Linked DNA regions of Drosophila melanogaster. The protein of the gene in region 2 interacts with the protein of the main gene of each other region in a pairwise test. Each region holds a gene or a part of one and is shown on either strand. Other genes may lie near its edges. The genes, in order: ergic53 and mEFTs.

Evidence for each region.
Region 1: the proteins of mEFTs (region 2) and ergic53 interact in a two-hybrid assay, tested with the Drosophila melanogaster proteins (one large-scale study listed by BioGRID).

The regions. Positions count from the first base shown.
Region 1 is NT_037436.4:8,532,984-8,538,704, reverse strand, and holds ergic53 (ergic53), read right to left. Parts: upstream 3,729-5,721; 5' UTR 3,700-3,728; coding exon 3,519-3,699; intron 3,332-3,518; coding exon 2,613-3,331; intron 2,538-2,612; coding exon 2,062-2,537; intron 1,815-2,061; coding exon 1,689-1,814; intron 1,624-1,688; coding exon 1,587-1,623; 3' UTR 692-1,586; downstream 1-691. Other genes in the region: foi (fear-of-intimacy), read right to left, coding at 5,600-5,721.
Region 2 is NT_033779.5:17,498,455-17,502,726, forward strand, and holds mEFTs (mitochondrial translation elongation factor Ts), read right to left. Parts: upstream 2,653-4,272; 5' UTR 2,215-2,652; coding exon 2,038-2,214; intron 1,830-2,037; coding exon 1,581-1,829; intron 1,476-1,580; coding exon 945-1,475; 3' UTR 814-944; downstream 1-813. Other genes in the region: CG15142 (uncharacterized protein), read right to left, coding at 1-308; Dhc36C (dynein heavy chain at 36C), read left to right, coding at 3,013-3,545, 3,608-3,832. UniProt on the Drosophila melanogaster protein: Associates with the EF-Tu.GDP complex and induces the exchange of GDP to GTP. It remains bound to the aminoacyl-tRNA.EF-Tu.GTP complex up to the GTP hydrolysis stage on the ribosome.

The DNA.
Region 1 (5,721 bases), on a different chromosome or scaffold from region 2:
TCGTATACTATGAAGTCAGTTTTGTTGCAGTGCACACATCCCATCCCTGCTGGAAAAACCCAACGGCACGAAACCATTTTCTCTGTTTGCAAGCCTCATGCCGATTGGCTGTTATAAAAAGTTAATAGCCGTTCAAGTCCCCCTTCCAAACCACTTGGAAACTGGTCCTGCTCCTGCGCAGTGAAAGTATATAGGAAACGGAGCACATAGGCGAAGCTACCATCCAACCGCACACCAGAACTGTGTAACCCATTCCCCGATCCCGTAGAGAATTTATTGCATGGGCCGCGACTGCCGTTGGCTTCTGTCCATCTATCTTTGGCTGTGCTTTTCCTGGGATTTTCCCCAATGCGATGGAATGGGTACTCAGACCACAGAGGACCTGCCCACAATGCCACCATTGGCAGTTACATTTTATGGCCAAAGTTCACCAGAACCCAACTCGTTCCCCAGCCCCACGCATTCTGGCGACCAAGTGGCGCCATTTTTGCCGCATTGTCATCGATGGGAGGATGAAGATGGGGATGGGCAACTGACAGGGATTCTAGTTTATGCTTGCGAGGACTTTTCAAGAAATAAACTTTTTCCTCTGTCGACATCAGCGAAAATAATATCGCATTCGGAAAAGTATAAAAATAAAATGAGGACGCAGATTAAAACTATCAAGTTGAACAGTTGGAGATAGATTTTTCTATAAATTGATTTTTATTTTCACTTTAAACATTTCTATCGAGACTGGAATGGACAACATATATAAAAACACACTTCACTTCAATTGTTTTATAATTTATCAGTATGTATATTAAGATTATTCAGTAGAAAACTTCCTTACATCGCACCAGTGACGATGCGAACCGAACAAAAACTTAGTGAGACAGTTCATCATAATTATTAAATTAATTCACTTTCTGGCGTAATAACAAAAATGCTGGCTAACTAGCTTTGTTGACCATTTGGCGCATGAAAATGGGAAAAAAGATTTATGTTGCCAATTCAGTTTCAAGAGCCGAGCCTGATGGATTCATCTCAACTCTAAAGTATACAAGATATTACAAAAATTTGCTACGTTTACGGAATTTTCGTACTTATATAGATTTTGCCATTTTTATTTTTATTTTTTTTTAGATAGATTTTCTTGTGCTTCTTATAAATGCCTGCACACATGATATGCAGAGTTGAGAATGGAGTGAAACTTTCGACTTGACTTGCTAAAACAAATATGAAACATCTTCTGTTGGCTATTACTAAGGGAAGTTTGTCTTGTGGCTTCTTCGACGGTTTCTTCGTTTTGTATTGCGTGGCATTGTCATGAGGCATACATCATTGATCAAATTTCTTGTTCTTGCTTTGATTAAGTAACGACTTGAGTTTGTATTCGTGACCTGACTTCTTAAACAGACTTCTATTTAAAAAACAAACAGTTACACATAATGGTAGAGCATGCTACGCTGAAGTCTTAAATCTTTCATTTTAACTAAATTTAGTTGCTGCCTAGTCAGGTGTGCGAATCTGTTTCCTCGTGATTTCTGTGGGTGTATGCTTGTGTGTTTGTTATTCGTTACGATCCCAATAAGTCGCGAATTCGCCTAATAGAACTTTTTCGCCTGTGCTTCGCTGCGGTTTCTGCAAGGAATAATAAGTTAGATTGTTTAGTTTCGAATCCACGCTTAAAGATTCCATGAACTCACTTGAAGACGTTGTAGATGAAGACTAGCAGCAGTTGCACAACAGTTACGCTTAGGAACAATGTGACTCCAACGCAATTGCCCGTGGGACAATTGGCCACCTGCGCTGCTCCCTGTGGCGCTGCCAATCTGCAAGGTAAGGGAATGCATATTGAGTATCAAGGAGGTACTTAAAAGATGACAATAAAGTATAATAGTCTAAAACTCATAAACATGTTCCTCTGAATCAAACTTGTTAAAACTCTAATTTCATAATGTGGAATACGAAAAATTAGTATAAATATGGCTGAAAAGGTTAAAATTAATTCGAGCTCAGAATAACTTCGATGACAACAGCTTTAGGAAACTTAAAATAGACTTTGAGCGTATTCCTCACCTTTGGCCCACGTGGGTGATGCCCTGCTTGACCTGATTCATGCCATCGCGCATCTCGGCGATGAGCGTTTGTACATCATAGCCGGTGGATTGGATTTGTGCTGTGGGCGCATGCTTCTGATTCGTTTGAATGTTATCAGTGCGCACATTGATATCGCCAACCAGTTGACGAATCTCGCGGATGGAACTGAGCAGCATGTTCTGATTAGTGAGCAGAAGATCTACATCGCTCCTGCTGACTGCGCCAACGGGCAGCTGTTGCTGTGGCACTCCGCCGGCGGCGGGCGGAGGCAGAGCCTGTCCAGCATTACGTGAGACCAGCGACAGCGTGGTCTCCTGGCGGCCAATAATCTCATCCACTTTGCGGGAAAGTTCGCGTAGGTGATCGGCAATTTGGCTCTGACCCTGCCAGATCTGACGCAGCTCACGCTGGTTCTCCGACTCGTAGAACTCCTCCCAGTCCTCCTCGTCTTTGTGCTGTGGGATTATACGAAAGTTGATTATCAAAACTAGCGATAAGACATCTTTATCAGCTGGCTGCGTGGCAATTACCTCGTCGGGATGGTCCTTCTTGTACTCCTGCTTCTGTTTCTCCAGTTTATCTTGGTATTCCTTGTACTCTTGCGTAAGCTTCTCCTGGTTTTCCACCTTGGGCTGCTCCTGAACTTGTCCAGCGGCATGCAACGACGTGGTCAGGAAATGGAACACATCGTGGTCATCGGCCAGACCGCCCGTGGCGGCGGAAATGCCAAAGTAGCCGTTCTTGGGCAGATTGACGCCATCCGCTCTCAGACACAGCTCGTAGTCATCGTTGTTGTTGGACATTCCGTTGTGGATCATGACGGTAAGCACGTTGTTGTAGTACTCGATTCGCGCCCGTGTAGGGAAGGGCTTGTTACGGAAATCCCTGAGGCAACCGCTCAGGAGCTGAGTGGTTCCATCTTCGGCATGGTCATACAGCTTGGTGCCATCATTGAGCACGGCACTGATGTAAGGATTGTTGTGCTTGTTGTCATTATCGAAGGAATCGAACATGATGGCCAGACCATTCCAGCGGTCCGAGGATCCGAACACAGGCCCATTGTAGTCACCCTTTTCCGTGGTGTACCAGAAGGCCAATCCATCGGCTCCGATCCTGCCACGTCCCGTCACCCGGAACACGATCTCCACGTCCCACCAGTCGAAGTTCGTCTGTGACTTTGTCCAGATGGCACCCTTCTGTGAGCGCAGCGATGGCGCCACGCGCACACTTTCCGAACTGGCGATGGCATCTGAAATGAGGAGCAACAAGTTGTGGCTATAGAAACACCCGAAACCGTGGTCAAAACGACATCCAAACAAAGTGCCTGCGTGTACACTTGGCCGCCTCGCGCCATCTCGCTCGCACCCATGGCCGCAGACCAGCAGCGAGTGGGCCAAAACAACTGACGTGGAGCTGCGTCTTCCACTCGTACTCACTTCCCCCGTACTCCCAAAACGGCACGGTGCCGTCTTTCTGTGCCAAATACGGCGGCTTGAACGAGTACTTGTACTCGAAGCGACGGTGCACGCCCACGGCTCCAGGACTCAGATTGCCGGTCGCCTCGGAGCTGGGATTCCACGCCAGGAAGCACAAAATGGCCAGGAATGTGGGCCGCATCTTTGCAATTATATGTTGACAACTAGTGGTGGGTGGGCGACGATGGTGCAAACTGATGATATCGATAACCAGCCGGCACCGATAGGCGGTGGTATCGCACTGGATGTTCTAAAAGCATTGTATAATTTAAAATCAAATATTATTTTATGTATTGTCTACCATTAACAATTAAGGTAATATAATATAAATTGATTAGAACATTTATTTAGGCCATCCTTCGTATATAAATGTTGAACTTAAATAAAACCAGCCATCCTATAACAATTAACTTCAGCTTAGATCACAATTTAAAATTCTATAAGATAAAAGTTTTTCCATGCATTCTAAGAAACAAGAACCAAGTGATCTAAAAAATATTCAGGCAGCGACAATACAATCGCTATCGATTTCGGTAGATTTTATATCGATATCGCAAATGCCCACCAAATTCAAAAGATCTTGTTATCACTTTATGATGTTGAGGTGGAAAAACATTTATTTTGAAAATTTAAAGTGTTTACGTCCCGTTAGAAAATAAACATAAATATAGCAAAATACGCGCCATTCGCATGTGCTTACATAGATACATGTTTATCAATACGTTATTGTAAAATTATTTCGTTAGTTGTTTCAATTGCCTTTTGCGTGATATCACCAAAGTAGTATTACATCCATATCTCCAAAATTCCTTTAGCACAGTTAGCACAGTGTGTGTATATATGTTTACATCTTTATTCTTTGTTTCTGATTTCCTACCGTTTGTAGTTTTCGTAGAGCTTACAGCTAGAATTATTATAGGTTTTAATGCCTCGGTAGCACATAGTGTGGGCTTCATAAAATATTGTTAGTTGCTCAGTTTACACAAGTGATAGCTTTGTGTGCAGATCGGTGTGTGGGGGATAGTCATTAGGGGCGATCGTGCCGCAAGTTTCGCCATTTTACAAATGTTAGTTACTTATTTTGAATCACAATCACTTTCGTGTTAGTTCTGTGCGCGATCAAAAGAAAAACTCAAATCGATTAAAACAAAATCAAAGTCTTTGTTTTAGCTTGATTTATTACAAAATTATAATTAAACGAAGGCGCTACAGTGTAGCGAAAATCTAAATTATGCATGATGGTGCAATATAATAATCTTTTCAATTTATTACAAATACGATAATAAATTAAGCTTAAATGGGTTTTGTGTACATTTCCCGAAAGAGGAAATATGCGTTCAAGTCGTTAAGTACTGTAGAAAATCATAACAGCGGTGGACATACCTTTATTTTGGGTTTAGAATGTTAAACTCGCATAAAGTAAACGTGCGCACTCTAGACTACAAAATACAAAAAGTATATGTATGTATACATATCCTACAATATATATGTATATTTATATATAATATATCGTAATTTTTAGGTTCTCTTTCGTGTATAAGATCAGTAATTAGAGGATTGTGGGATCCAGATCCAATCCATTTTTTGTTACTTCCTTTTCTCATTTGACAGCATCACGGCATGCTTTTCAAATGTTTTCATCTAAATTCAAGATCACTTTATAACCTAGCCAATTTCAAGACATCTTACATTAAATTGGGTGTGAAATGGATTCGAACGCAGTTCAATAGCAAAATTAGGAACGAAAATAAAACGAGTTTGATGAATTGCGTCGCTTGTGTGTGGGTGTGAGGTTGTGTGTTTCATAAACTGGATAACAAATGCGTTTGATAAGCGCCAACCGGCTGTGTCTGTGGTTCTGTTTTGTCTAACTCTGTGAACTAATAATGTAAACAACAATGTAATGAAATTATACAAAAAATAATAATTCAAGAGGTTCTATAGGCTTGGCGGAAAAAATGCAGTTAATACACAAGATTCGCTGCAATTCACATAATACGCTACAAGATTCGCTGCGGTTGGTTACAATTTCACTTATGTTATTAGTGCGCGTGCTGGTGTGATGCGGCTCCCGCTGTGCCGAACGCGCTCATCAGATCGCCCTCGTAAAGGGCAATCAATAGCATTATCCCCACTCCGCTGAGCATGCCGAGAATCTGCAGCA
Region 2 (4,272 bases):
GCCTGCATGTACTTGGTGTACTCCAGTTTGGCCATCACCTCCTTGTACTCGTTGGCGTAGGCAAGTGCGGCGCTGTTTGTCTGCTGCCTGTTGCGCAGCATCATCGCTGCATTCGCAGTGGAGCTACTGCCAGCAGAAGCGGCTCCACTCACCCTCGTTATCTCCACTTGTGGCACATGCGTCTTGATTGCTAGCTCCTGGTTGGTGTCCATTGCTGGCTCCTCGTCCGCCTTGGGGCGCGATGGCACGGCCGTGACGGTTATGTCGCTGTACCTGGAGCGGAAGGATTCAATGTCCAGGTAGTCCATTTTGGCGATTGAATCTCTAACGACGATCGATGGTTGATAATGAAAGGGATTTATTTGACAGGCCTACTTAGTAGCTAATATTTCAGTGCTGCAAATTTCTTAGGGCTGGAAAACCATTTCTTCTATTTTGATTTTCCTCCCTGGCCAAATCTACTCGTACTCCCATTTCCTTAACATGAGCCCCAAGCAAGTGGCATACCCAACCCTCACTTGGTTTTTGCCTTTGCCCCCAAAGCTAAAAACCTTTCTTTTTGCTCTTTCTTTTGGGCTATCGCATGACCAAGTGGGTAATTACGGGAAGCAGAACAAAAAAACACGTTTGTAAACAGTTCATTCTGCTGGCGTTGTCCATTCGCCCGTTCTTCCCGCGGGTTCCACTGCTTCAGCGACCGGAAGCCGCTCAAGCGTGCTTCCCGTTCTGCGCAGGCGCATTCTCCTTGGTCACCCCAATTTTTTGCCATGACTCATGGGGTATGGCGTATTCAAATAAGAGAGGTGGAGATCTGATCGTAATGGTTGTTTTACTTGTTTTACATGCAAATTTTGACCAGAACATTGTCCAGAATTTCGGTTTTAACAATCTTCAGCTGTTGTGCTAATAACAATTTAGTGTTCTAGACTCTGCTTAATGGCTAGTTAATTGCTGCTCTGGTGCTGCGAGCGAATGATCGCCTCCAGGCTGCGTTCCGTGTGCTCTCCGCACTCGAAGCGATGGTAGTCGACGATCTCGCAGTTGTGCTCCTGCAAAGCCTCGCCCACCGTCTTGTCCGCATCGAGCAGATACTCCTGGTGAATCAGGCACGTCTCATCGTCCTTGTTCTCCGCCGGCTTGTCCTTGTCATATTCGCCGATCTTTGTCGGCTTCATGCCCACGATTTGCTGGCAAATGCTCTTGTGAAACTCAAAGTCCAGCAGGGGGTGCGTGGATCGGTAGGCTACGATCGCTCCGTACTTGCCCACCTGGGTGATGCCTTCCGTGGTGCCCACATTGGTGGGTGCGGGATGGGCGTAGCCCACCAGCTTCAGGTCGTTGTTAGCCTTAAAGCACAATGCGCGCCGGATGGTGGCATTCTCCCCGATGGCGCCGATCAGCAGAGCCAGGTGGTCGCCCAACGTGCGTCCCTCCTCCGTGCGCAAGTTTCTGAGGGCGTCCGCATCAAAGCCAAGCTGAAAGGATATGCACATTCTTTAATTAGCAATTTCTTTAGGAATGGATGCAAAACCGGTTCTGATCCAAATATTGTGTACATTTCCCATAAAAATCTCGCTCACCTTCCACAGATCTCCATCGAAGTCCGTCAAGTCCGTGTATTGCAGACACATGCAGGCGACGTGGTCAACGAACCGCTTGAAGGTATCGTTCCTGGCTACGAAATCCGTCTCGCAATTCAGCTCGACCATGGCGCCCCGGTTTCCGCGGATGAGCACTCCAATCAGACCATGTGCAGTGGCTCGATCTGCGACCTTGGTGGCCTTCGACCAGCCGAGGGTCTGGGCCTGCTCGTGCAGCCACTTTTCAGCCTGCAAGAGCGAGATGATGGCAAGGTGAGTTGATTAGCACAGATGTGTTTTGATCACAAAGGAGTTTGCATGCGGTGCAGCTATATATATTACATAATAATATAGAAAAATCAGCAATTTTTCAAAATGTAGAGATCCCCATTTCGTGCTCTTTGTAATGGAAAGCTCACTGCACCGCTTGCAATAAAACTATTAGCCAACTACCCACCAATCCGACGTCGTTGTTGTGCTTCTCCAGCGCCTTCTTGCAATTGGCGAAGGTGTATCCGGTTTTCTTCCTCAGCGCCGCCAGGGCACTCTTCTCCAGGCCACCGGATCCGCCAGAGCCGGCATAAAGCTGCCGCGTGGAGTGAAGTGCGCGTGTGAAAAACCTTTGTAGCAGCATTTTTCCAAAAAATTTCCGAAATTTACTGGGAGGCCAAAATGATTTCTAGCGTGATTTGTGTGCGAATTGAATTGTTGCTCTTTGCCTGCTGTCAAGGGCAACTCGCCGGCTTGTTTGTTTTTCCGTTTTCCGACCTGTCGCTATGTAGTAGTTGCCCGGAAAATCAATTCATTCTAAACAACGGAAAAGCCTGTGTGAGATTTGCATTTGTTTTCAACTCCTTCGTATGTTCGCTTCGGTTCAAGAAAAATTAATCGCGTTGCGGCGCGAATAAATCCAAAGCGAGTGTGGTGCCTCGATAGGTGAACGACTGGTAAGCGTCGATAGTTTAGTTTTCGGCTTTTCTGTGTGCTTAATTCGAGCAATTAATTTTGAAACTGAAAATTTTGACAATTTTCCGTGTTGCACAATTCGGCTGTTAGGGATGGCAAAAAAGCCGGTAGGGCGCGTGTGCGGAGAACAGCTGTTGCGAAGCGACTATCGATAGTGGCGACGCTATCGTTGGCCAAATGACGTTTAGTGGATGTTACAACCTATTACCGGTTACAACCGATTCGAAATGGATTGAAACCAAATATTTAAAACTTAAACCTAATAAATAGTTTTTTTTTTAATTCTGGCGCACGTAGTTATTTTCTTAATTAATATTTTAGTGTTTTTTTTTACTTTAAATAGTACTTTGATTAATAACTCGGCGGGATACAATCGTTTTATGTTTCAAAAACAATTATTGAAAACAATTTTCATTTTCTGTAGTCACATTTTGATTCGAACGTTGAACCGATTTCAGGCTTCAACATGCAGGGCAGACAGAATCCGAATCGGGAGTTCAGCATCCCCAGCTTCACGTCCATATGCGGCGGTCGCCGCCTATGCGAGAAGTCGAAGATGCTGTACACGCGACCCAAGCCGGATGTGCTGCAGAGCATCCTGCAGTCAAAGGCCAATCCGGAGTACAAGTCGCGTCGCCTGTGGTACGAACTGAACATGCCGGAATGCGCCAGCTCCCTGCTGGACGGCAAGATGAAATCCGACCTGCCGGACAACATACTCTGCGCGAAGAAACAGCAGAAGAAACGCCAGAAGAAGCGTGAGAGCGGCGTGGCCAAGGCCAACTACATGACCATGCGACTGGAGCGGGAGCACTTCCGCCGCAAGCTGGTGGAGCTCATCCTGCACATGGACGACGACCAGGATCCCGAGCTGGCCGCCCAGTGCGCCGTACCCTTTCCCGACCAGGAGGAGCGCGAGATTCTGCGATATTACTATTACATCAAGCATGGCATTGACACCATTCACGTGTCGCCGTTGAGCAAGAAGATCCTCAAGAGGTGCGTTCCACTGAACACTTTCAAATGTATCTGCTTTTTTGCTAACTGCTTTCCGTCTGCAGGATAACCGATCTTGTGCCACCACTGCTCTACAAGTGGCAGACGGCACTCAATGAAAACATAGCCGAAGTCCGGGCGGACTACGTGTTCGCCATGAAGAAGGCCGTTGTGGACTTCGTCCTGCGGCACACGGTCCTCGATCGCCTAACCAAGGAGGGCGTGGGTGGCAAATACGACACCGCCGAGCGGCGGGAGGTGCAATCCATGACGAACTTTTGGCGCTATCGGTGAGTCTCCATGATGCTAATGTCAAATTCGATAAAAGTCTTCGATTTCTATTCGATAAATGGCAAATGAAACTTTTGATCCGTTAAAAGTGTATAATCCAGGCAGAATATAGAAACATTTTTCACGTTTTTCGTTAGCTTTTTCTATGCAAAAAAAAAAAAGAAAAAAATACAGCAATGCAGATGAAATTGCAACTTCTCTTAAGCCAAATGGATTTTGAGAGGCAAAATCAGAGTAGCGTAATTGATATTGAAATGCATGCGTTGTTTGGTTCGACAAAGTTGAAAAACCAATGCAAGCGAAGGGCGGGAATTTAAAGTTAGAAACTTCCGAGCGTGTGGGAAATTCAAATTTTTTAATTAAAATAAATTACACCCGCACCAAGTGCCACGTAAATTGTGCGCATTGTAAAAAGGGAGGCAGGCGGCAGGCAGGCAGG